Linked DNA regions of Drosophila melanogaster. The protein of the gene in region 1 interacts with the protein of each later gene in a pairwise test. Each region holds a gene or a part of one and is shown on either strand. Other genes may lie near its edges.

Evidence for each region. Proteins that work in one complex are often made in the same cells at the same time.
Region 2: the proteins of CG4267 (region 1) and wbl interact in a two-hybrid assay, tested with the Drosophila melanogaster proteins (one large-scale study listed by BioGRID).

What each region holds. Positions count from the first base shown.
Region 1 is NT_033779.5:2,237,919-2,247,448, forward strand, and holds CG4267 (uncharacterized protein), read left to right. Parts: upstream 1-4,459; 5' UTR 4,460-4,603; coding exon 4,604-4,673; intron 4,674-4,774; coding exon 4,775-5,027; intron 5,028-5,641; coding exon 5,642-6,443; 3' UTR 6,444-7,356; downstream 7,357-9,530. Other genes in the region: Tengl3 (testis EndoG-Like 3), read right to left, coding at 1-56, 119-289; Tengl2 (testis EndoG-Like 2), read right to left, coding at 428-1,210, 1,274-1,447; Tengl1 (testis EndoG-Like 1), read right to left, coding at 1,553-2,350, 2,423-2,584.
Region 2 is NT_033778.4:19,245,775-19,253,720, reverse strand, and holds wbl (windbeutel), read right to left. Parts: upstream 4,327-7,946; 5' UTR 3,897-4,326; coding exon 3,621-3,896; intron 3,417-3,620; coding exon 2,919-3,416; 3' UTR 2,804-2,918; downstream 1-2,803. Other genes in the region: CG33453 (uncharacterized protein), read left to right, coding at 536-601, 651-965, 1,030-1,176; CG33454 (uncharacterized protein), read left to right, coding at 2,055-2,114, 2,172-2,486, 2,548-2,694. UniProt on the Drosophila melanogaster protein: Probable chaperone protein involved in dorsoventral axis patterning in early embryos. Probably acts by folding and targeting pipe (pip) into the Golgi.

The sequences.
Region 1 (9,530 bases):
CATGAAGTAGGACGATTCCACAAACGGGCCTCATGGTCTGTCCCAAAGGTGGATAACTTGTGGGAAAATATTAGAATTAAAATCTTACAAACATTTCTAACTTTTTCATATCGCTCACCATCGGATATAACTTGTGACGATGATGGTAGACATAGGGATCCCTTCGAATCTGCTGGAGCAGCTGCCTTATGGACGCCTCTTGTTGGACAAAGGCTCCACACACAAACCCGGTTACTCCCGCAAGGGCACATAAAGCCCACTGATGAACATTTGATTCGCTAAAGGACATAAGTGGGCCTTACAATAATTTCGTGTAGTGTTTCTTTGATGAAGTGTGTAATGTAACAATTTGTCGATATGTCAGTCGGAAGAAGATAGCCTGCTTGCAGTTAAGTTAAATATATATTTAACGATTGGGATCCCTCCACTAACTGAATTCGCGAAAAACTCGAGATTCACTTGGATAATTGCTGCCGAATAGGGCACTCCTTCTCAAACCATCGAAGAACTTGAGACCTGCGTAGTGCTCAATCTCCCGGATGTCGCAGAGAAACGATCGTAGTGGCAGACCATCTGGTATTGGAGCATTGGGCAGGACATAGCCCTCCATATAGGGTTTACCCAGGTGCAGTTTTGATTCCACCATGATCACCTTGAAGAAGTGCGTCGGAACTGCAACCATATTCAGTCCGATCATCTCGTACTCCACGGCCCACTTACCTCCCGGTCTTTGATTGGGCTTATATAGTGGACCAGTACACACGAAAACGGATCCAAATCGGTGGACCAGATTTCGAACATATTGTTCCAAGTTGTTCCACGCGCTTCGGTTGAAGCCCTGGCCCACTTGTGGGGCAATATTCGTTAGGAAAAACGTATCCTCGCAGTGATTCTGTTGCAGATGGTGATTTCCTGCGGCTGCCAAGTGTCCTCGGTCGAATCCAGATCTCCGATAGTCGCTCAGTTCCGATCGGAAGTTGGAGGGAACACTCAAATCCGGCTGGTATGGGTTGCGACCACGTCTGCCTCGATTCGGATGTATGCTGTCCGCCTGGAGGTGCTCGCACACCCAGTGGGCCACTCGGTTTCGGCGATCGTAGGATAGTACGAAGTCACTATACAGACGCAAGTCATCCAGGCCAGGGAACCCAAACTTCATGATCTGCCTCATCCGGTGATCGTCTTCATTATTGCTCTCAAAGAAAGTAAACTGGTTAGGGAAATTATTTTGGTGCAAGTGTTACTTATATTCTTTTACTACAGTATTGGTTACCACTTCATAAATTTTGGGACTGAGATAGTAGGCATAGGGATCCGTTTGTATTAGTTCCCGCAGGCGTTTTCTGGCATCTGTGTGCTGAAAATACATTCCACCCACGAAGGATGCACAGAGCGCAGTCACTCCCAGGACGAAACCCAGTCCCAGGAGCTGCCATTTTCGGTCCATGAAATGGGCTCTGTGAATTACCCCTCAAAAGCAAATAAAACATTGTTTATCTGAAGGATTTCTCATGGCCATCATTGTCTCCTTCAACATATATGTATTTATATTCTATTTTGGAGAAATACTTGATGTGAGGGCACTGTGACTGTCTAAGGCATTAGTCATCGGCAACGTTAACGGATTTGTTAAAGGACCGTTTACTGAGGGGACAAATGAATTTGATGCTTGGGTGTTGACAAAGTTGCGGTCGAGTCCTTCAAAGAACCGTAGACCAGTAGCGTTTTCTATTTCCCGGACATCGCTGAGAAGCGTCTTCAGTTCGACATTGTTGTTCAGCGGAGAGTTGGGCATCACATAGGCCTCCGCATAGGGAATGGTATCGCCCGCGAACTTCTTATCAATGACCAGGATCTTGAAGAAATGGGTGGGTACGGCCACCATGGTTCTCTCCTCCGACTGGAACTCCAGGAACCAACTGTTCGACTTTAGCTCCCGGGGCAAGTAAATTGATCCGGTGTAGGCATACACGGTTCCATGTCGTTGACTCATCTCATGGACGTACTGCAGCAGTCGATCCCAGACAGTGAGATTGAACCCTCTGTTTAGAAAGGGCCTAATGTTGGACAGGAAAAATACCCTGGCTGCCTCCGACTGTCCAAATGCTCCAGCTGGAGCCACGGATGTGGAATCCCCGTAGACGACGCGATTGGACAGATCTACCCGCTCGCACATCCACAGAATCGCAGAGTTTCTTCGATCGAAAGAGGTCACAAAGTCAAAGGTCTCATTTATGGTGATATCATTGGTGCTGGGGAAGCCGTACTTCATGATCCCGCCCAGCTTGTGGCAGTCATCGGTATCCACGTCGAATTCTGAGTTATCAGGGCGCACAGCGAAAATTCCCAGCTATAGATATGTTTAAAGGGAGTAGAGTTCGCTAATATATATATTATCTGAATCCTTAATCTATTTCCTTACCAGTGCGTACAGTTTCCTTCTGATAAAGTAGGCATGTGGGTTTCGTTGCTCCAATCGTCGAATCTTTCGCATGACATCGATGTGCTGATAGTAAGCTCCTAGTGCAAAAAACGATCCAGCAGTGGCCAGAATACCAATAATGCCCTTCACCGGCGCTTCCATCGATCCTTTATATCAAATCCTAGCAATTTTGTCTTATAAATTAGAAACAAATTCGAAATCGGTAACTTGTTTATTGTGCTGCAAGTAAAAGCTATGAGTTGTGTGTAGAAACTAACTTGGTTGTGCCTTAAATTTGAAAGTACTTCCCCCAAAAACCTGACTTTCCTGCAGTTAATCTTTAAAGTTTCCGTGTCCAAGTTCAGACCCGACTGCACTTGCCAACTGCATTAAGTCAATAGAAAAAGTTGCAGTCATCGTTGTAGAGCTAAAAACTAAAAGTCCCCAGGACAAAACATCCCCCATTCCCCCATTTGCTGCCCCCTTGAACCGCATAATAAGCGCTTTTTGGGGCTACGCCTGACTAAACCAAAAGCGGCGTCAAGATTTATTCTCGGAATCTCGTCGTACTTTGTTATGCTTAAAAATGTTAGTTGTGGATTTACAGTTTTTCCGTTTTGGCCAGAAAACTTTTCACCCTCCGCTCCGAAACTTTGATCGGTAGAGTGATGAAAAAGTGGACGAGCAAGGGAGGTGGGATGTTGAATTGTTGTTGCCAAAACTATTTAAATTTAAACCATATTCCAATGAAGTTATTGAATTTTCCGATATAGGCAAAAGGCAAAACCCTTTCACTTAAATCTCTGCGAAACAGTCTTTAAGTTAAGCTCATTCCAAGCTGGGCAAAAACTTTTTCCGACACATGACAAGGGATTCAAAGTGCAGTAAATTTGTTCGGAATGGAAAACTGTGACCAAGTCTCTGAATTTTCCTTTTCCAGGAACCGAATTCAAATTTCACCCTCAGCCGCAGGAATTCTGCACCACATCCTTCATCCATTTCAGTTGGTCGCGAGGCATTGCCAATTAATTTCCAACATCTAATTGGTGGTTGGCCAAATTTATTGGTCTCGTGGTGGATGGGCTGTTTGCCCTGCCCCCCCAGGATCTGTTTGCGTATTGATTGATGCCTGGAGGTCCTTGTGCCAATCTGAGGTGAACTGCATACCTTGTCGAGGGCTCAAGTAACTCGCTTTGCCCCTCGCGGATTTTCTAATCAACAAGGCAGCAGCCCAAATTTGCATAATTAAAACGTTTTCATGTGGCGCAGGTGGAAGGCAAGAAAGGCCACAAGAAAACCCACCCGCCCCAATTTTCCATTTTCTTTGCCAGCCGAAAAACTGACTCGCTAAGTGACTGAAAATTTGTCGCCTCATTTGAGTTTGGATTAATGAATTATGCACTCGGGGATGCTTAATTAAGCGGGTTTCGAATGTGATTAGGACCACGCAATTAGCCGATAGGTCTGAGCATTTTCGGGATCTGCGATAAGCATTCGCGCTGACTGACAGCCATAAAAACGTGGCCCCAGGATTCGGAAAACCATACTCATTACGCTGCCTTTTTCTGTATTTTACAGCAGGTCAACTTAATGGGGTAATTAACTTATCTGGGTTAAGAAAGGATGGATCGGTTAACCTTTTATGCGTGCCAATTAGCGCCAGAAGGGCTTATGGTTTTGTATAATCATAACAATTTGTCGGTTTTTTAAGGATATTTACTTAAAACTGCATAATACACTTATAATTTTCATGAGTTTTTGTTGTTTTAAACAGATAACAGCACTTTATATTTCTTTATACCTCTAATTTTCAAGATCATCAGCCTGCTAACCTAATCGATACTCTCTATAAGGAAGTATAATGATCTATGAGGAGAGAGAGAGAGAGAGAGAGAGAGTGAGCGAGCTGCGATGATCAGTTATCACTGGAGTGAGTAACCCACTGAGCGTAGACTTGGGGTCGCCGCGCTCTCCGCTCCGATTCGGAAAGTGGAGCTCGCAACGCTCGACCATCGAGAGATTGGCGGAGAGCTGTGTCAGTTGGTTGCGCACGCACCAGTCGACCGGTCAGATCTGCGGCTTATTCCGCCGGCGTTCGAAATTTATAACGGTGGAGATCGGTCATCGGACGCACTACACTCGATCGGTCAGAAGCCCCGAGGGAGATATCTTGGAACAGCCATGATCTCGCAGCTGGGACGGATTAGCATCATGAGTGCGGTGCTTTTGGCATTTGCGGCCATCGTATTTGGTGGGTAATATTCACACATTTCAAGGTCTTATCACAGATCTGTGTAGAAATTCATTTGATTGATATATTTTTGGTTTGCTTGCTATATCGTCTTTAACTAGCCAGCAGCTCGGAGAAAACCGAACTCGATCCCAATGCCACCTGCAACTACACGCTGGTGAAGAAGAAGACCTTGGGGGTGGATCCCTCGTTCTGGAAGAAGTTCTTCAAGCACCTCATACCCTTCACGAGTTCGAGGGGCAAAATGCAGTTCATACTCTTCAAGCGGGACTTCGCGGACTGCGGAAGGGAACTGTTCGTGGGCGATGTGGAAAACCTGAGGAACTCGGGCTTCGATGCACGTCATCAAACAAGGTAAGGGGGATTTCCGGGAAGATTAAAGCCCCGATCGAATGGGGAACTTTGCAGCGAAGTGAGTGTGCCACAATCAATTCATTACACTGAACGGTGAGATAATGGCTAAAAGCTGTACAAACCTTTCAGCTCGCAACAATTGACAGTGTATTTAGTATTCATACTACCACTAAGCCCCAGAAATTAATGTGAGAGCAAAGCACCAATCTAATGAATAGAACCAAAACAAATATTTGCTAGATTCTCTCACCAAATAATTTATTTTTTATATTTCGCGACTAACACGAAAACAGGTTTCTCTGCTTTATATATTTACATTTTTTGGTTGAGCTTTCGTTTGAATTATCGCCATTGAGTCATTGCCATTGGCCTGACAATTGATTTATTGCTAATTACAAGTTAATTCATTATAATAGCTAACAGATAGTAATTGCACAAATTTACACCAAATACGCCAAGCAATACACCAATTTTGCATTAAAAGATAAGATATCAGGCGAAGTTGATATCATATATACATAAATGAATTGAAATATGTTTATTTTAAAGGGAATTGCTATTAGTTTAGTATACATTGATATATTATATTGACTTTCCTGACTGCTTATTTTTAGGATAGTCATTCATGGCTGGATGAGTCAGAGCAAAGGTTCGCATATAAGGAAGGTTAAGAACGCATACCTCAGCCTGACCGATCCGGGACCCAACGGAGAGCCCGCCCCCTACGAGGACTTCAATGTGATCGTATGTGACTGGAGCAAGACTTCCACGAACGTAAACTACTACGAGGTGGCCAAGACGGTGGAGGACATGGGAGCCCTGCTGGCGGAACTGGTGCGCTATCTGAACCAGGAGGCGAACATGCACTACGACGACGTATACGTCATTGGACACTCTCTGGGAGCGCAGATCGCCGGCAGTGCTGGCAAGCAGATAATGCCATATCGATTCAACACCATATACGCTCTGGATCCGGCGGGTCCACAGTTCCGGGAGAAGAGCGACGAGTACCGAATCGATGCTAGTGACGCCTCCTATGTGGAGTCCATTCAAACCAGCGTTAGCTTTGGCTTCGAGCAGCCCGTGGGACACGCCACCTTCTATCCCAACTATGGGAAGAATCAGAAGAAATGCTATGTCTATGGCTGTTCTCATAAGAGATCCCATGACTACTTCATAGAGTCGCTGACGAGTCCGGCGGGATTTTGGGGACCGCGCTGCGAGCGTCACGATGATGGCACCTGGCTGCTCCTAATGAGCGATGGAGAGTTCCGGATGGGCGGGGAGCCCTCAATCCCCAAGAACGGAACTTTCTATGTGAAAACCTACTCAAAGCCACCCTATGCCATGGGCCACAGGTGGCAAACGGAACCGCCTCCACGGGAAGATGATATTGAGAACTCCACGGAAGAGTAGGATATTAGTTAATATGTGTACATTTGTTGATGAAATAGAAGTTTGGTATTTATAATTGGTTATTTTTCTTTTATAGAGAATTTATTATAAATAGTACACCTATTTCTAGAAACATTTTTTTAAGTTACTTCTTATCTCGCAACAACGTGAGCCAATTAAGTTTTATGGCGAACTATTCACAAAGAAAAACCATCTAGCGAGTGTGTAAGTCAGCTGGGAATAACTATTAGTAACCTAAACTTCAAGATAGGTATATAAACCTCACGAGGCACGGAAGGCTTATCCACTCTTTCCACAATATTCAACCGAAAATGTTCCGCGCTCAACGTGTTTGCTTTTACTTTATAGCTTTCCTGGCCTTCGCAGCTGCCAGACCTAAAATAAACTCGCAAATTTCCCAAAATCAAGTTGGATTTCGATTGTCCAATGTTTTGACCAAAGAAAGTGTTGCTTCCAAGTCATCAATGTCCACAGAGGCAACCAGTGAACCATCCACTGTGACTTCTGACGTGCCCACACTAACTTCACCATCATCATCATCATCTGAGGAAACTAGTGAAGCACCTGAAAGTTCCAGCCAGCAACTATCACCATTGACTGAAAGCTCCAGCGAAAAGGTATTTGAGGTGACCACAGTACCTTCATCTTCGTCGGCGGAAACTAGTGAAGCATCTGAGACTTCTAAGGCATTCACCGAAACAACCACCACCACGGAAAGTGACGTGACATCTGAAGATTCCACCGAAGATGAGTCATCTGAAGATTCCACCGAAGATGAGTCATCTGAAGATTCCTCCGAAGATGAGAGCTCCGAATCAAGTGAGGAATCAGAGGAAGGATCGTACTACTATGATGATTCGGAATACGACTACTACGATAGTTACTTATATTATTGATTCATCGCGTTACCATTAAACTTTATGTCAGATCGGAATACAAATCTTTTTGAAGAGGCTTGAAAATTTAGTAAAGTAAACAAAATGAAGCTGTCATTCATACTGGGTCTTGCCGTTTTTAGTCTTTTGGCTTCTACAGGAGCATTGCCGGTGCCTCAAGCTCCATTGGTTATGGCATTGGTCACCAAACCCGAAATGGATATTCCAGATATTGATCTCTGGGCCAGGACTTAAAAGGTGAGCAGAGATGCCAATTTTCGACGCCAAATCTTGATGAAACGTTTTAGTTACAGGATACTTTAGACTGCCTTCTGCACACTGTTTTTCGCCCTGATTCGCTGCATATTTGGAAAAGAATTTTTAATTAAAACAAACAATATGTTACCCAAATTGTTGCTGCTGCTTTTGGAGCGCCGAAAAGCTGTGCAAAATTGCACATATTGGACAAGAGGCTGCGACGGGTTGTTGCTAATGCATTTACTTGGCTTAATTAGTTGAGATTCTACATTATTCATACGCCACGTGTGACCAGCGGCCACCCACTCGCCTGCAAATGCCCACCCGCCCAATGTGCTGATGCCTGCCGTCTCCTTCTTTTCCTGACAGCATCATAATTTTCACTTAATTAAAGTTGTCGTTGTTGAGGGTGCTGAGTTTGAGGTTTAGCCCGGGGAGCAGTTAGAGAGTTGTGGCGGTGCATTCGGGTCGAAAGTTGGGCGGCGGGGGAAAAACACGGTATTTGTACTCACAAGTTTTCGCTCTTAATTTAATCCAGTCTAACTACGAAAGTTTTCGAATGCCTGGGTGGTAGTTTGATCGCAAGAGCTGGTTATTAAAATATCTTACGGTTTCGGAGGGAATTTGAATGCATATGAAAAGCACCTGGAAATATGCAAATATTTTCACTTAAAGAGATTCAATCCCTTCAAAAGCTTACCTACTAAAGTCGGAAAACGAAACACAATACCAAAAGTATTAAATTTCTCACATATTTCCGAAACACAAAGACATCTCCGGACAAGCTCACAAAGTTGACAAGCCGAGACAATTAAAGTTTGGCATAATCTGTTGATTGGCTTAATAAATATCCAAACTCACTTATCGTAATTGTTATCCTAAAGTGACAGATTGACGGCAAAGCCAAATGGAAGAAGAAATCCTTTGAGGTTCCGGACGAAAGGACAGCTCGGTTGAATCTCAGGTGGAAAATGGATTCACTTAAATTTTATGCAAAATCATTTATCCTTTTTACCTTTTGCCCAAATAGTTGGCAGCCCGATTTCGATTTGGCCCGAAGTGGTTTCTTTCGATTGATGATTGTGTGTGAATCCCCGAGGGCACAATATTTGCCCCTGAATTTGATTATTTAAATTTGCACATTCGTTTTCATGGCGCATAAATTATTTATGAGCCCAGTGTGTGGTAGCCGGCAGTTCCATTATGGCATTCTAATTAAGGCGGCCCACAGAATGTCTCCCAAGTTCATTGTAAGTAAGAAGCCCCAACTAACTGATGTCCAAGGGATGCGCATTGGAGCCTCAAAAATTCACCGTAAAATTCAGGAGCTGAGCACTTCGAGGACAAACCCTTTTGCGTTGACAGCCTGAACACCAATTTGTCGCCCTGAAATGGACCGTGTGAAAGCCTCGGAGTGCCATAACTTTGCCGATGTGTTGGGTGTTGAGATTGTCACCCCGGAAAACCCAAAAAAGCCAAAGAGACAGAGAGGAAAAATTAAAGCGAAATCAGGTTTCATTTTGCGGATGGCAAAGGGCTGCAAAAGGACGCCAGCCGAGATGTCCTGGCAAATGAGTCCGATACGAAGGCGATGACAATGACTTACATTGCTTGAAATCCGAGCAGCACAAGGACCTGCAGGACACCCAGTCCACACACAACACTCGCTTAAGTTCATGTGCACACGCACTTAGGTCAGCAGATATCGGGCCGAAAGTTTTACTTACAGATATAACCCCCCTCTATATCTCTGAATCTCCATGTCGCCGATGCCATTTGTGCAATTTTATAGCGTTTTTATGGCACACAAGTTTTGTGCTTTGTGCCCTCTGTCGGCGTGTCCTGAGTCCTGCGTCCGTTTTCCTCTTTAAAATATTCAAATTTGATGTGTGTGCGGGTGGAGTGGTTGGGAAATCCGGCACTTCTGTGTGCTCAACTGTGTAATAGAGACGGC
Region 2 (7,946 bases), on another chromosome or scaffold:
TTGTCATGTGTGTGTGCCACGTTTTTCGAATATGACCGTAAGTGGTTTTTCTAATTTTATGCCTGTTACAAAGTCAATGCAAAACAATAGCGTATTCTGAGTAGACACACTTTGTTAGCATGATAAATGACATGTTTTGTAACTTTTTATTTTTGCAAATGGGGAATGAACCAAGTTCATGCTCAAACAGTAAATCGAAAAGCGACTGCCAAAGAAGAATATTTATGTGAACAATGTCACAGTTCGCAAATGGGATTTGTATATATGTAAGCTAATGACTCTCTAATTTTAATGATCAAAAAATGCAATTACGTGTAGAGAGAACTGAAAAAAAAAAAACATATGCATAAATCGATTTATAATAAAAAACAATTTTGCTATACACAAAACAGTGAAAGAGACTATAATATTTATTTGTAGCGATTCCATCGAAAGTGAAATTTTCAATACCTGTTATATCACAAAAGCGAAGAACAGGTATTATGTTTTCCCAGTCTTATAGTGTTGCTCAAATGCATACATACATATATCATCAATGAATTCTAACGTTATCCTTCCTGGAGTTTTTTTAGCAGCTTTGTTCCTCATCAGCAGTGTAAGTGTGAGAAAAATTTAAATTTTGAAAGTGAAACTAAATAATATATTTTCAGGAAGCACCCAATATTAAGCTGACAAATGTAGTTTGTGAATCAATAAACAAATCCTGGGCTGTTTTTCATTATTGCCGGCTAAAGGCTTACTCGCGTAACAAGACCAGCTTGAACATAAATGCAACATTTCTGCATCCAACGAATAATGTATCCCTCAGATTAAAGATGGTGAAAAGATTAAGTGGCTATAAGCCATTTCTCTTCGATGTCACAATCGACGCCTGCCAATTTCTGCGAAAACGACATAATCCCGTCATAAAAATGTTTTATAGCTTTATAAAGGATTATTCTACACTAAATCATACATGTCCTTATGTGGTAAGTTAGGTTACGCCATATTGGCCATCAGCAAATTTAATAACTTTAATCATTTTTTTAGGGCTTGCAAGTGGTTAGCGATTATCACACCGCTGTATTTCCAGTACCATTACCTTCAGGAGACTATGGAGTGTTACTAGATTTCATCTTCTATGCTAAGAAGCAGTTTCACGTGAATATTTATTTTAACTTTGTGGAGGATTTTTGACCACCCGTTTCTATGAACATTATAGTTCTTAATTGAACTTATTGAAGCTAATAAACAGTTTAAGAAAAACATAATTATTTGATTAAGATATCTTGAAAATATAATTATTTAATAGATTTCGCTAGTTCGCTCATACATAGCTACCAGCTTTTGCAAATATGACCCTCAACGAAAACACAATTTCAATTTATTACCTATATTATTAGTTAACCGCACTTGCATCATTAAGTCATATTTGCCCAAGCTTTTGGAAACGTTTTTCTTAATATACAACTTCATTAGTATCTGCTTACATTTGAAGCTATTTTTTGTGCTTCAACACTAATATATACCTTCGGTTTTAGACAGTTTATTTATCATTTAAGGGTATTCTAAAACAGAGCAGATATGTAGCAGATATATTCGAATGAACGCAAAACTAGCACCGTAATGATTGTTGCATATCAAATCAATTTTGTATAATTAAAAAATACATCAGATATCGTGCTACCATCACTGAAATTGAATTTTAATAACCTCTTCAGTACAAGACAACCCACAATATATCACTCAGATCAAATCAGAAGACAGCAAAATTAATCAATGAAACAAATCGATTATTTCAAAGACAGCCATTTCTGGGTTAAAACATAAAGTTTGCAATAGGTAACTTTTTGTATCTGATTTCAATGTTTTTTAAGCATTACTATATTAAGTTTCTATTTTAAATGGTATACCTAAACACGCTGAATCGTTTTGTGCTGACTAATATATCAATTTTGTGTAATTAAAGAGGTAAACATATTTATGAAAAGTATATCTTAATTATGTGTTGAACTACCATCACCTAGTTCATAGTTTATATTACAGTCTTAAATTGATTTTTGTGTTTGTCGGACATGCTGGCCAATGTGATAATTCTGGGAGTTTTTGTGGCTGTCGTTTTTTTGGTTTACAGCGTAAGATTGCCCGATATTGTTTTTAATAAAATGTAGAAAGTATATTTACTTCTTTAGGATTCGGCTATGGTTAAAATGACAAATGTTGTTTGTGAATCATATGATAAATCGTTGACCGTTTTTCATTACTGTCGATTGAAGGCCTATTCCAGGACCAAGACTAGTTTGCACATAAATGCAACCTTTTTGCATCCAATCAATAGCATATCTGTCAGATTTCAGATGCTGAAGAGGGCCAATGGTTACAAGCCTTTTCTTTTCGATATCACCGTCGATGCCTGCCAATTTTTGCGAAAACCAAATAATCCCGTCATTAAAATAGTTTATAATATGATAAAGGATGCATCCAACATCAACCATTCTTGCCCGTATGTGGTAAGGTTTTTAATCAAAATAATATACAATTATATATCCTTTTTTGGTCGATTTGCAGGGTACGGTGGTACTTAACGATTTTCATCGCATTTCACTACCCCTTCCATTTCCCTCTGGAGATTATTTATCACGCCTAGACTTTCTAATTAATGGTAAAACGAAGTTCTATGTAAATGTAAATATGCATGTACCAGAGGACTTATAAATTGAAGGCTTATTTGTGTTTAACTGACTTGTTAACTGGCAATGAGGAGTGGAAATAAAATAGTTTGATTTAATTACTACAAGGCATTTCAACATAAAAAACTGTCTTTATTTGGATGATAGACTTATAATTCGTATAAATTGTACATTCACATGTTTCTGTCGAGATCCGACATTTATAAATATCATAAAGTATTCATAATTTTGTTTAAAGATCTAACAAGTTCACAGTTCCTCCTTTTCCGGCGCTGTCTTGGTGACCTTGTGAACCCTGAAGACTTCCAGGATGTTCAGTTTCCTCAGCAGCTCCTCCTTCTTGGCCTCGGTGACCTTGCCGGCCTTGAGGCGCAGGAGTCGCTTGGTCTCCTCCTCCAGGAAATCGTAGCCCACCTCGTGGATCTTCCGCATGTAGATCAGATAGGCCCTGGCGTTCTGCTGCTGCTCGGGATCGGTCAGCTGCTCCTGCTTGGCCTGCAGCTTTTCGATAAGCTTCAGTTGCTCTGCATCGGGGATATTGGCATAGTTCTTGAGCACTTCGTTGAACTCTTTGATGCAGCCATCACGACCGATGTACAGAGGTGTGTTGGCACTGACAAAAGCCTTCAGATTGTCCAGCGTTACGTCGACGTGGCTAGGAAGCTGGACGTACTCATCAGCGTTGCCCTTGAACAGGAAGATACTCGGGAAGTTCTTGTCGTCGACTTTGTAACGGTCGCCCAGGGCCTGCAAATTGGGATTAAAAAGTTGAAATAATAAATAAATCAAATTTAAAGTGCTTTTAAATAATTTAAATAGCACAGAGTCTTTAGAAGGGCATCCAAGCTTTAGGCTGCAATCCAGGATTCCAAATGAACAGAGCAGAAACCACATTTTTTCCAATCATTACCACATATCTAAATCCTAGGTAATCCATAAAATAAAACTCACCTTGTTCTCCAGTTCTCCATAGTCCTTGACACCCACGGTGGCTATTAGCAGATCTTTAGTTGCCTTGTGGGCAGATTTGGAGAAGGCGGTAAAGGCCTCATGCTTTTCCCCATACGGATATGCGATATCAAATTTCACTACGGAGTAGGGAAATCGTTCCACCGTCTTCTCGAAACTCAGCTCATCCAGATCCACGCAGCCCGTGCAGGTGACGGCCCAGGTGGTGGGTATCGAGTGGATAGCGACCAGGAGCAGAGTCACCAAAATATGCATCATCTTCGTGGCAAAAACCAGAGACTTCTGAACTTGACCCTACTCTTGCCGTTTGTCAGCGCAAACTGGCTAAAAACGAGCGCGAGAAGAGCGGTAAAGTTGTATTCGAGTTCGAGTTTTGGGCCAGTTTACGCTTCGCTCAGCTGAAATTGTTTGGCTGCTTTGGCCAACTCACTCAGTTCTGGACTCTCTGGTAGTCTGAAATGCTCTGAAGTTCTCGTCTCCACAATTTCTCGATCGAGTTGAATGACACGTCAGTGAATAGAAGCGGCTCTCTCACTCAAAACCGGCTATTTCGTTGACCAACTCTTGTTGTTAGTTCAGCTGTTTTGGCTGTGGGTCTATTGTAACACTTGTAGGGAGATTTATTATATAATGCCTGGTACTTAATGCGTGTGCCTCGTTTTTGACTGTCGCTTTTAAACGTAGAAATAATTGTCATCCCAATAGCTGGGGAATGAACATTGATGCCAAGCTGATAGAAAATATATTTCGGCCAAAAACGATCAGTTGGCCAATAGAGCGTGCCACATTAAACCAGAGCAATTAGCCATGTTCACAAAACTGACAGTGCAAGCGAAGTCCACAGGAAGTGGTAATTTGCAACTGTACATGAGTGTTTTCGGGTCTTTCGAATTGTGGATACCCTTTAAAGGTATATATATGAAATTCAACTCCTTTCAATCACAAGATTTCTTATTTATACGTTTTAGTAACTTAACTTTACAAATGAACTATGCATTAAAGTATCTCTACATACAATGAATTGACATAGTAGCCGATCGACTCTTTAGAAGTTTGCTAAGGAAAATGGAAACACCTGCCAGTGGACGGAAAAACGGGGTTAGTTTGCCATAATTTTCATTAGCCTGGAATTGAAATTTTCCCGGCACCCGATCCCACCCCCAATTCCGTGCTCCTTCCCTTTTGTCCCGGTTAATGGACATTTTCGGCAATTGTCAATTAATAATTCATGTATGCGGCACACATGTTGGTCACCTCAAACCCAAAAGACCGCCGATGGCCAAATGCCCCGCCCCCCGCCCCCTTTGGCGGCTAAAATAGTTGGTTTAGTTTTTCCATTTGCGGTTTCGTTTGTCCACTCTACGGAAAATTGAACATCACGGCACGCAATTCGGGAAGGAGGTACGGAAAAGCGTTGCGAGCTTCACACGATCGATATGGCCGACCGGTAAATTATCTTTTCTGATGGATGGGCGTGTGTCTTTTGTGTGTGTGTGTGTGGGGGGGGGGGGGTGGTAAATGGGTGGTTGGGCGTTCGATTGGTGCGTCAGGTGCAAGGAAAATCCAAACGGCAATGCGCAATTTCCAATGGAATTAACTGGCGATGTAGGGTAAGGAGGAGGTAATGCCTGATGGAGATCCAGTAATGGGGCCTGACATGCGTGTGTCAATCGCACAAAGGCCCAAAATTACCGGATTGGATGGATGGTTGGGAGGTGCTCCATTTGTAATGCTGACCTCTTTGCTGGCCGCGCAAAAAAAAATGGAGTCCAAGTTCGGTGTGTTTTCGGTTCATGGCGCACTTGTGTTTACATTCCATTTATTATGCAACAAAGGACAAGCAATTTGCTAAGTACACCCCAGTCGAAAGGCCTTCAAAACAACATGGAAAACATAGCATTCAATTAGTTGCCGTGACGGGCATTTTATATTGAAAACTTTGCCACTGGACGCCAAGTAAATCCTTCTTCGGTTTTAAAAATAAAAATCTAGATTATATTTAGCCAAATTATGGGAATTACCCGGCGAAGAACCTTCAAGAGTCCTCCAACTAAGGATATCCCATATGCGGCATAAATAATATAAATGGTGGTACTTTTGCGTTAGTTTAAGTGCAGCGGCACTAATAACACAATGACCTTTACGCGAAACGACCCCCCTTTGGCCCACCCGGGGGGCTTTTGGTGCTGAGGGGGTTGCCCTGACCAATCGACATTATAGTGATAAGCGCGCAAATTTCAGGACCTGGAATGGCTGCAATCTTGGTGCGGAAATCAAACGATTGCGGCATTGTTTTTTATAGACCACATCTATTGGGTTTTGGAGCGACGGCGAATAGACAAAGCTAATCGCCTACAGCAGGGCAGGTGCTCCATTTGGATACCGTGTAGTGGGATCTGTCAGGGGTATATTTGGCCTTGTGATCATGTGATAGTAATTACAGCAATTATTGTATTGTATCTTATGATACATTTTTTTAACACATCATATTGTATATGTATCTTACTTATTAAATATATGTTTTTAATAGGATTGAATATTTAACAATTATCAGAACTCTTTAAAAAAAGTTTTTAAAATATTATAAACTTTTTCCCTTTCAGATTTAAGTGTGCGAGTTATTGCCGACACTCATTTGCCGCAGGGTATCTATTAACAATCCTGCTTTCAGGACAACCTTTATTTTTTTGGCAGCCCCACAGTCTAATTATGTGGCAGTACATTGAAGGCGGGCCATGAATTTTTCATGGCCCACGTATGCCAAGACATGCAATGTTGGAGCCAACTGGCCAACTGACAATTTGGATAGAAAATAGATGGAGTTTGGTCTGCGGAGGGGATGGGGCTGCGAGTTCCCAACTTGCGTAAGAACCCACGCGATTTCGAATCATGGAAATTCCCCGGTCTCGTTTATTGTAAACTTTTCATTGGGATCCAGGCACTTGTGAAGTTGAAGCTCATCAAATTTTTATGCCATGGCATAATTCCATAAATGGGCCATGGAATGACCCACCTGAAAAAAAGGCCATATGTTCCACCCCACAAAACGAAAACATGGGAATAATAACTTCGACAATAATTCGCATGCCCAAATCGAAACTGCCAAAGTCGAATGCCCGGTTAAATGGTCAATAGGCTGTGCTCATCATAATTGGTATTTATTGAAAATGCCTTTTGGTTAACCCACACATCGGGTGTTCATAACCATAACCCTTGCTTTCGAATGAGAGAGAGAGAGAGAGAGGGTTAAGGGTTATGGGTTAAGGGTGGACAGACGTAGGCCTGGTTATCGTGTTTATAGCTTTTCATTTGCATTTATTGCCATTTCGATACGTGTGGCTATCAGGCCTGGCAATTTGAGGCGTTTAGCGCAAATTTCTTTTCAATATTTGTGCACCCAATAAACCGAAATGGTCAGTTAGCCGGTGGCTTTTATTCGCTGCGGTCTTCCAATTTGATTGCAAATTTCTTTTTTCGACTTTTATGCCAACTGCGTGCTGAGAATTTGAGAGCAAATCGTTAGTGGCTGAAAAGCGCTTAGATGGTCAATGATTTTGGTATGAGTTGGCCTCGCTAATTAATCACTCGAGTGCATTATTATGTGTTCTGCGCTAATTACGCTTTTTCAATATTTATCCAAGAAACCGCGGTCAAAATCAAATAAATTCGTTTGCCTTCATTCAACATATTCCAGTGACAATGGGCCTAATGGTAATTTCTTGAGCGATTGACTATTGGTTGGTTTGCCTTATCGTGGGGAAAATTCCATTAGCACACGGCCTATTAATTAGCCAAAAATGAATGTGTCTTAAGTGGTGTGAGTTGGTTGTATTGGTCATTTAGGTGCTTCGAGTTGGGGGATTTAATTGGGTCGCCAAGGAGAAACTGTACTTTTTTTCTTGGCTAATAACTATCCACTTTTCATTTCCATTTTAATATGATATTATGCTATGGTCATCAGTGGACTAATATTTCATTTGAGATAAATGTATCGCTTTTCAACATTTTGTTAGCTTGACCAGCTGGCTTCCGTTTTCTTTTAAACCTAAGGATCATTCTGGTATTGCTCTAGTGCATCCAATCGCTGACCATTTCCCTCAGGATTTTCCTCAGGGGAAACTCATGTATAACAGTTGTGGCGGGAAATTTGAATGGCGCATGCGTGGTTCCCGCTCCGAGCGAAAGGACTTCCAATGCGATGCCACATTGCACCCACTCTATCCGGGGTTAGGGCATTTGTTTACAAACAAATGCATAACAGCCAAAGGTAAAAGGGGTAAACTGCACTTACACAAAGCGACCGCCCAT